Linked DNA regions of Schizosaccharomyces pombe. The gene in region 1 interacts genetically with each later gene. Each region holds a gene or a part of one and is shown in the gene's direction. Other genes may lie near its edges.

Region 1 (6,215 bases):
TCATATCCTTGGTATCCTTTATCCTTCCCATTAGTCAATCTCTAAAGCCATTAATCCTCATTTTTTTATAATGCCATCGCTCAATTCCCGCAAAACATCAAACCTTTTATGAACAGATACTATCATTTACTTACAATATGTTTTTAGCAACATAGCTTCCTATTAGCCTGATGTGAGATTAACTTCGATAAACTTTCAATATTAAAACTTGCATTCGATTTGAATCATCTTTACTGCCATAAAATAGAATTGCGATTTAGGATCAAGTTAGCACGACATCATGGTGTTTTCCAATATTCGCGACCTGTTCTCAACCACCACTCACCACTTCATTAATTCCAAGTTTTAGAATTCTTTAGCTTTTTGAAGTATTACTTGTGAATTCCTCAAGTGATAGTATTTATTGTTGAAATTGCTAAATATTTTTCAATTTCATCCTGCATTGTTTCCTTCTTCAAACATTATATCAGGGAGAAAATTGAAGTGTTTTTTTGCCTGGAAATCTAATCCAATTGCTACGAAAACGAATTATCATATCAAAAAGGTAGAATAACATTAAAAAATGAATCCTGAACGCTGGGCTGCCGATTTAGTCTCTAATGTTAAGGATTACGGCAAGCGAATCATTGACTATGCTCATGAAAAAACTAGTAACCCTCAACCTGTTACAGTTCATACTACAAACAGTGCCAAGGGAAGATTGGGAGAATTTCTTTATCAAAATAGAGTATCAGTTGGCTTAGGATCGGCCGCTTTGTTCCTTGCTGGATTATCCTATTACAAACGCTATGATTATGTACGCAAGCGTCGTGCTCCACGTGCACCCAACCACCAAAAAACCCAAGTTGTTGTCTTATCTGCGTGGAACCCTCTCGCCTCAGTAATTGCTCACGATTTGGATCGTCGTGGTTTTATCGTCGTTGTTCTTGTTCGCGATGCATCTGAAGCAGCTACTGTTTCTCTCCAACAACGCCCTTACATTCAATCTTTGATTGTTACTCATAATGAGGCTGTTGAACGCTTCCTTTTGTCTTTTTCCAATCAATCTGGCCCTAAGGAGTATGCTTTGCGCCTACGTGGTCTTATTCTCGTTCCCACAGGAGATTCTTTGTACACTCCAATTGAGAACATTGGAAAAGATGCTTGGATCAGTGCTTTTCAACAACTCAGTGAATCTTTCTCTAACGTTTCTCGAATGATTCCTCTTTTGAAAAGTCAAAAGGCCAGAATCATTGGCTTGTCTCATGGTATATTATCCGCTTATGAGCCTCCCAATTATGCTGTTCCATCTATTCTTTCTTCTTCCATTGAAACTTTCTTGCGCACTCTCAAGCGTGAAACGGGCTTACAGGTTATTTGTATCAAACTTGGAAATCTCAGCTTTTTGAATTACGATCATTCTAGCTCTCCAGGTAAAAGCAATTATCCTCCTTCGTTGTGTACGGAACGTAAGGTTCTAAACAAAATTTTTGACTCCTTGCTTGGTTGCTGGCCCTCTCCAACTCGCCATGTTGGTTGTCGCACCTTTTTCATGGTCACAGTATCACGGTTCCTTCCTACGTGTGTTATTGATGGGATTTTCTCCTTGTTTGGAAAATTTCACTTCTTTTCCTGCAGTCTTATTAAGCGCAGCTAAATACTTGTATGGAGCCTCAGTTCTCTCTGTTTCCTTGTCAAATTGAACTCATCCCATGTCTATCATGGTTTGGTATAATGATAATGATGCTATGAAAAGATGTCATTGATATCCATATCTTTTGCTTGAGTTTTTTCAATTATTTTTGTTTCTATTTTTTTTACGCTCGAGGTGTAAAGCGAAATCTAGTAACTGTTAAGCTCTTTTCCTCAGAGCGAACTTAAGTAAAATGGTTTATAGGTTATTTTACCGTTCGTACTATTGCTACAATTTCGATTTCAAATTGTATTGTCTACTTAAATGTGCAAGTGATACAAAAGATAGGATGTATATTGATCGCTACTGAAACCGTAAAAACAAAAGTTACTCGTAAAATGAGTGTCAATTTTCTCTTTAATTTATTGAATGAAAATATTAAAAATCATTCGATTTAAACAAATTCAGTTTGGCCAGAATTCTAAACATTTCAATTGCCCTTAATTTTGTTTGCCTCAATAAATCATCGCTCTATTTCGTTAAACAACATAATGTCTGTACGTCCTCTCTCACTATGTGGTTTACTTCCGTATATAAACGGCTCTTCACCCGCAAGTGCACGCGCTCCTCTCAAAAAGGTGTTGTTTTCGTCGCATTCTTCTTGAAGAGGCCAATTTTTGGGATTCTTTTTTATTCTAATTTTTAGAGCTGAAATGAACATGGAACAAGAAGATGATCAAGTCCCAGCTGTTGCAGCTGAAACTGTTCCTTTAAAACGATATGTAACGAATCCTGGTGCTAATCGAGACGAAGAAGTTGCAGCAGCGCCTTCGTCTCAAGACACTCCTTATTTTGATTATGCTTATGAGCGCTCTTTAAGACATGTAAGTATTTAAGTGAAAACCCCCCAATTCGATATATTACGTGTTTAACTAACCATAACCTAGCAAGATGCTAAATTTCTGGCTATGAATGGAACACAAAACGGTCGGGATGGACTGCCCTCTAAAAGCCCAAGACGACCATCAGTCTCGGCTAGCACAGTAAGGAATAGTGATGATGTAAACCATAGTAAAGCTGGTCCTGGAAGTGGAAAGCTTTTGAATGATACGCTTCAAAGCAAAATAAGTAGCATTCATATGCCCCATGTGCAGCAGGGAGACAATGCTGTAGTTTCTAGTGTTGGTGGCCCTGAAACCGATCCAGGAAACATGGAAACGACTGACCCTCTTTTCTCTGATGAATTGGCAGAAATTTATTTGTCAATCCATAAATGTATGGACATGCGACACAAATATATTAGGGTGAGCTTACAGGGTGAGCTTGACAATCCCATTGACGATGATTCATGGATTATATACCCTGATTGCAAAGAAGGTGAAGATGATACGGGCTTGTTTAATTTTGCTGATTGCAAAATTCCTGGAATTGAAAATGAAATGGAATATCACATGGATCATCAAGGTATATTTCAAGTTTATGAGAATGACAGCGCATACATTGCGGGGACACCGTCTTTTCATATTCCTACTATCCGCGATTATTATATAGATTTAGAATTCCTTCTTTCGGCTTCATCGGATGGTCCTAGTAAATCATTTTCCTTCCGTAGATTGCAGTATCTAGAAGGACGCTGGAATATGTATATGCTGCTAAACGAGTATCAAGAGCTGGCAGATACCAAAAAAGTACCCCATCGTGATTTTTACAATGTACGTAAGGTAGATACTCACGTCCATCATTCTGCTCTTGCGAATCAAAAACATCTCTTGCGATTTATCAAAGCTAAACTTCGTAAATGCCCTAATGAAAAAGTTATCTGGCGTGATGGCAAATTCCTGACTTTACAAGAAGTATTTGATTCGTTGAAGTTGACTTCGTATGACCTTAGTATAGACACGTTGGATATGCATGCTCATACTGACACCTTTCACCGATTTGACAAATTTAACTTGAAATATAATCCAATTGGTGAATCTCGTTTGCGTACTATTTTCCTGAAAACCGATAATGATATTAACGGTCGATATCTTGCTGAACTTACCAAAGAGGTGTTCACCGACCTTAGAACTCAAAAGTACCAAATGGCTGAATATCGTATTTCTATCTATGGACGGAATCGTGAAGAATGGGATAAGCTTGCAGCCTGGATTATTGATAACGAACTTTTTTCTCCCAACGTTCGTTGGCTTATTCAAGTACCTCGTTTGTATGATGTGTATAAGAAGTCCGGTATTGTTGAGACTTTTGAAGAGGTCGTCAGAAATGTCTTTGAACCACTGTTCGAAGTTACAAAGGATCCTCGTACACATCCTAAACTCCACGTGTTTTTGCAACGTGTTATCGGGTTTGACTCTGTTGACGACGAAAGTAAACCTGAACGCCGTACCTTTCGCAAATTCCCTTATCCGAAACATTGGGATATTAATTTAAATCCTCCATATAGTTATTGGTTATATTACATGTATGCCAACATGACTAGCTTGAATAGCTGGAGAAAAATACGTGGTTTTAACACCTTTGTCCTTCGTCCTCATTGTGGTGAAGCTGGAGATACGGATCATTTGGCCAGTGCTTTCTTATTAAGTCACGGTATTAACCATGGTATTTTATTACGAAAAGTTCCTTTTCTTCAGTATCTTTGGTACCTTGATCAGATCCCTATCGCAATGTCTCCATTATCAAACAATGCACTGTTTCTTGCATATGATAAGAATCCATTTTTGACGTACTTCAAACGAGGTCTTAATGTTAGTCTTTCCACTGATGATCCTTTACAATTTGCATTTACCCGAGAGCCTCTGATTGAGGAATATGCTGTAGCCGCACAAATTTATAAGCTCTCTGCTGTCGATATGTGCGAATTGGCTAGAAACAGTGTTTTACAATCCGGTTTCGAACGTCAGCTTAAAGAACGTTGGTTGGGTGTTGATTTTCAGGATATTGATCGTACTAATGTACCTATAATTCGCCTGGCTTATCGTGCTTTGACTTTGACACAAGAAATTGCGTTAGTGAACAAGCATGTCCAACCATCCAAGCACCCTTCAAACCATGATTTGGAGGAATTGATCCATAAATATGATGCTATGACTGGTACTAGCGACCCTTTGTCGGCTTCTCCTCGTACGAACGACGCTACAATAAGCAGTAGATTGTCTCTTCATGATGGTCATGACCATGGTGCCTTTTTCCCTGGACTAAGTGTGATTTCAGAGCGTCGTCGACGTAAGGATAGCATGGCTAGCAGTAGCCAAGATTTGAAAGATTAAGGTTTCTATTATGAACCGCTTTCGTTTATTTTACTTTTGCTTTTTTTTTCATGCAACTTTGATGTATTGAAACATTTGGGGAAGGCAATATACCTTTGATACCTTTGATAATTGTGCATTCTGTTTTAGAACGATATTTGTTCTTGTTATGTTAAATAACCCATAAAAATATATATAACATATATATTACCTCCTTTTCTTTCCTGTCTTTTTTTTTTTTTGGAATGAATGTTTACTATACATATTTAAATAGATAATGATATCCATGTGAACTAAAATGGTATGAAAAAAGCTTACAAGTCTATTTAATGGAATACTTATAGAGAATTAATTCTCAAAAAAACAAATCATGTGGATCATCTTCATTATAATAAAGTGAGTAAAGTAAGATAAGTTACCATGTTACAATTCGAATTTAGTAATAACTTAAGCAAAACGTTAAATTGATTAATCAGTTGACGCGGACAATCAGCAAATACTAATCGCACCAAAAGTGCACACAAAAATAAACAAACTAGTTTAGTATATCGATTTGTAGTGTGATAAGGGTTACCCATTCGTGGTTCAAGAGGATGAATTTAAACATTTTTTTCAAGTTCTTTGACAAATTCATCCATATCGAAATCTTCTGAATCTTTCTTCAAATTAGGCAACATAGAGTCTTCTAAATTGAGTATTAGTAAAGCGAAAAAAAAATGAGTACTATTGCACCCGCCAAAGTTCGTTAAACTCGTTGAGATGCAAAGAAACTAACCTTTAGGAGGAGTGTTTTTAGTATTGAGATATGCAATTTTGGCAGATTCAATCAAGGATTCTTGTCGGTGATAGTTCTCATCAATCTCCTTCTGCTTTTGACATTGAATATGACTCCTATGCTCGTACATTCCAGCACCTAAGCCAAGGACGAGGGCTGACCAGCGTAATGTCTATTCGTTAGAGATGGTTAAAAATACACATGGATATTTCGTGAAACTAATTCATTAGAGGATACCTTTACGTTTATGGAATTCATTTTTAGAGCGTTATATCACTTTTGTAAAAGAGTGGGGAGTGTTCAAGTTCATTTTGCATCCGAGCACAATCGAACTCTAAACACTTAACACGAATAGTGCAACGTTTAGTATTAGTTTAACATTCTAATAAAGGTTTTTTTAAAATATTTCAGCAAACGCTTTACCGTATTCTTAATTACTCCGCGGTATTGAAGCTGCTACCAGTGCTTGATCCATTTCGAAAACAAAGATAGCATTAACACGTTACGACACATTAAATTGTATACAATAACAAAACTTCGAGTACAGTAGTTTACAGTGCACGAAGAAGTCCCAAGG
Region 2 (4,267 bases), on another chromosome or scaffold:
CTGCAAGCTTTCTGTTTACCCACAGTAAACTTCCTTCAATATTTTGCCAACGTGTTGATCGTGCTCGGACAGACAGCATGCAAGAATCGAGCGGCTCAAACCCAACCATCCATCCTTCAAAAATTACATAGGTAGTTGTTTTAGGATTTGCCTTTTTCCATTGGGATTCATCTCCCCTATCTCCGTAGCCACCAAACTTGGATTTATCGTAAAAAGGGATAGATACCTCCTCATCGCTTCCCTTAACAAATGCATTTAAAACATTATTTAAAAATGTGACATCATGGGTTCCAGCTAAACCACGATGTTGAACAAGAGGATTATTGGGATTATTTTTGGCCAATTCAACTTGTTCTGCGTGCGTGAGGTAAAAGTCGTCAAGTGAGAACTTCACAACTGATTCGTTCTTCCTTGTTAATTCGGTATCTAAAGCACTTGCCAGTGTGCTTTTACCAGATCCTTGAGGGCCGGAAATTCCAAGAATAAAAGGACGACCTTCAGGTTTTGGCTGCTTTTCCAGGAATTTTAAAATTTTGTCGACAATGATTTCCAACGAACTCATATTCCACTTCTATATAAAATTTTTAAATTAAATACAAAACCTAGCTTCCCCTTAAAAACGACTTAATAACATAAGTATAGGAAAGACGTAGGACTAATACTCGAAATGTGAAAGAAAGCGAGGTGCTGTAGCTATATGAAAATTCAATGTTAAGTACCACAGTGACTAGATACTTTCGTAACGACTACCAGTAAAGGACTACAAACACAAAAAGCTTTTTAAAAGGCTAAAGTCGTTATGCAATGGTTGGATTTTACCAACAAAGTTTTGTTACGGGATGTTGTATCACTAACATTCCGTTACGTCTCATTTGTGCCAATATACTGAATGCTTGCGTAAACTCTGTAATACTTGGAAACGGCTTCACTGCGCCTCACTATTTGGAAAGTTGTAACGCTGTAAATGTTTTGTTTTTACCTATAAGTAAATAGAAGATACATAATAAAATTTGGTGATGCTCTGGATTTTCAGGGATAATAGAATTTCTGTAGTTATATTTTCTACAATGACGGCTAACTTTTAAATTGTTTAATCTTGATGCCATGCAGTATAGCTCAAATGCTGAAGAATTTAGGTAATATGCATTTTATACTTTGTCTTTAAATTGTCATACTTGTCTCTTGCGACTTTTATAGCTAAATAATAATATTCCAGTGCTAACGTATGTGTTTTTTCTATAGTAATCCAAAAAAAACACGCAATTTATTGTGTCAGTAAATAAAGTAACTTGTAAAAATAAGTTTAGCTGAAATGTACAACAATCAGTCCCCCATCCAATGCGATAGCAGCCGCAGTTACAAATATTATTTATATTTAATTATTACATTTTGTTTACAGGTACATAATGTTTGTTAACACTTTTTGTACGTTTAATTAAACTAAAAGTATTTATTTTTTTAACATATACTCTAAAAAATTAATTTACTCAAGTTTGAGTTATCAAGAAAATTTAATCTACAATAATTATTTTTGAAGCACTTATTTGTTTTAATAGTATATAGTCTGGTGAAACAATTAGAATTCGTCTGTAAGTAGTAAAAATACAAAAATGTTTCTATGGTTTTCATATCATAAATACTTACACTTCACCCGTTTAACTTAAAAACTTAAGGTAATCCGTAGTACACCAAATTCTTTTCTTTTCTTTTTTTATTTTTTTTTATTTTTTAAAATGTATTTTATTTAAGAAATAATAAATAAAGTCCCTTATCCAATTCCACTAGATATAAATCGTTAGTTTAGAATTTACCAAAATACTTTTCAATAGCTGTCGTATATACATATTTATACACATTTATTACTTTCTTTTAAAAATAACTTATATCAATTATATCGTAACGTAACTGATGAGTGGAATCATTTAAAACAATTTAAGAGAGAAGTTGATATTGGCTGTTTATTTATCCGAATTTTTTTATGTTATAGTTCTACCATATTTGGCGGTTGTTTTCTTTATTTTGATTATTTTTTAAAAACAATTGAAAAAGTTTAGTTAATAATCAAGTAAATCTAATAACTATATATACAGTTTTCAAAGCACAATATCAACTGAGGCTTCGTGGTGTAGTGGTAGCATACTTCGTTTGGGTCGAAGTGGTCAGGGGTTCGATCCCCCTCGAAGCCCAAAGCCTTTAAATTTTTGTTTCAAATATAAAAAAAGTTGATTTGTGCTTGTAAAGTACAAACCGTATAAAAAAAGGAAACCCGTTTAATATTCTGTGTAATGGTTAAAGGGTTGCATAAATTACCGCTCTTTAATTACATATTAAGAATTTATCATACATTGTCCAAGCTCTTCTTGTGCTGAATTTTTATAAGTAACGCGACACTACTTCTTTCATCGTAAAAACTTTTCAAGTAATTAGGAAACTACATTTATGAACCATTTACTGTAAATACAATTATATTTTCATCTGGGAGATTAACAAATATTTTATCACTATTTGAATGCGTCCCATTCCAGTGAAGAATCGCATTGGAAAAAACAACATTGATAATGCAAAGGGACTGAAGGGGAATAAGCTTATTCGTCATTATCATAACCTGTTAAAAGAGAAATCTCGACTTATTGCGTCAAGTGCTCCGATTGAAAAAATAAAAAATGTGGAAAGTGAACTCGAAAATATAGGTATTGATGCTTACCAACGAGCTAGTCGATCCGGTCAAGCGGAAGGAAAAGGAGGGGATTCAAGTAAAATATTGATAAAATGGATTCGGACAACTCCCTGTTTTTCGTATTGCGCACGTCTTAAGGAGCCGAAAGATTTGTTGGAAATTGGCAGTGTTTCTGTTGACAACAAATGTTCAACTTGTGGACTTTTCCGAGTTTCAAGGATTGATTTGCATTCTGTTCATCCCTTGATTAAACAACAGGACTTTCTTGAAAGAACTCCTGAAGAAGGACTTTTTACTGGGATAAGTTGTTCACTTGTGCTGAATTTTGCACCTCCAGAACTCCGAGCTAAAATGTTATTACATTGTACAGGATTGTTAATGCCTCCTAATAAAGAACAGCCTCCTTGGTTATTTTTGGTTTTGCCTTCGCCTTGCATAACAAATTCTCGGTACATGGATGAAAAAACATTACACTCAATTATGATACAGTTTGGATTTATCTGTCGTCAAAAGTCTATATCGAAAAAAATAGCCTACTATTTATATTCTTACGAGTGTTTTCCTATGAAAGAAATAGACTGGAAAAAGAAGATCGTTAATGATGGGGCAACTAGGAATAATTTCTTCATTCCCTGTATACTCTAATTAAGATATTTGTCAATACAAAATTTATTTTACTAGTATCTCAAAGTTAAATTAATGAAATGAATGCTTTTTGTCGGTTATCCTCTTGCTTTTTTTTAATTGTATTGTTAATGTCAATTACTAGCCTTTACTTACGTAGCTACAAAGTACGTTTTTCAGAGTTTGTTCGTATGCGATACTTTACTAATGAGCCGAAAGCTCGATCATTGGTGTAAAAAATAGTAACAAGTCATTTTCGTTATATGTCTTTTTAAACTTATTTGCCAAGTTTACAAATCTTGTGCACCGCTCTGTGTTCTATGCATACAGAACACATCTGTATAACGTAATGGAGCGTACCCTTTTTAGGTGAAGTAGCTGGTAATCATCGAAGTCTCTCTTCTCAAAAGCAGTAAACTTTAGCTTGCAGTATATATTCGTGAACGATAGTAATTAAATATGTCCGACCTCAGGAAGTAAGTAATTTTTGTTAATATGAAAAAGCAAAGGTTAACGTTTGTCACCAATTAGAATTATCGGTCTTTCTTCGGTATGCATCGCTCAATGACTCCTACTCGAGCTAGACATCAATTCCATTTTAAACGAGTCTAACTTATATTATTAAGGTCCTGGCAGTAGGATTTATGCTGGTGATCCTGTCTTGTGCTTTATTCAAGAATTGGTATCCACTGCTAATTGGTATGATTTTGTCAACCGTTGAGAACTATTTCATTTACATTGCTTACGAATTACTAATGAATAGTCATTCCATTCATTTTAGCTCCTCTTCCTAATCTCCTTACGAAAAAATACTCGACAAGCCATGACTTTTTACAAGAGGAAGACAGGTATGGAAATATAATAATGTTGGTTGTTCTGGGGAAATTATTTCAACCATAATTGTTATTTTTCATTATTATTTGTAAGGAGCTCTACTAACGTTTACTAAAGAAATCTTCTTGACTT

The links. Genes that interact genetically often act in the same process or in processes that back each other up.
Region 2: mutations in ada1 (region 1) and bmt2 together harm fitness less than expected from each alone (positive genetic interaction), as found in Schizosaccharomyces pombe (one large-scale study listed by BioGRID).

What each region holds. Positions count from the first base shown.
Region 1 is NC_003423.3:378,065-384,279, forward strand, and holds ada1 (adenosine deaminase Ada1), read left to right. Parts: upstream 1-2,235; 5' UTR 2,236-2,325; coding exon 2,326-2,496; exon of another isoform or gene 2,497-2,559; coding exon 2,560-4,884; 3' UTR 4,885-5,236; downstream 5,237-6,215. Other genes in the region: SPOM_SPBC106.03 (steroid dehydrogenase), read left to right, coding at 563-1,636; tim11 (F0-ATPase subunit E), read right to left, coding at 5,463-5,548, 5,639-5,810, 5,876-5,896. UniProt on the Schizosaccharomyces pombe protein: AMP deaminase plays a critical role in energy metabolism.
Region 2 is NC_003424.3:363,041-367,307, forward strand, and holds bmt2 (rRNA (adenine) methyltransferase Bmt2), read left to right. Parts: upstream 1-2,404; 5' UTR 2,405-2,509; coding exon 2,510-3,322; 3' UTR 3,323-3,402; downstream 3,403-4,267. Other genes in the region: mug58 (glycerate kinase), read right to left, coding at 1-562; protein Vps55, read left to right, coding at 3,761-3,777, 3,833-3,851, 3,928-4,000, 4,065-4,149, 4,253-4,267.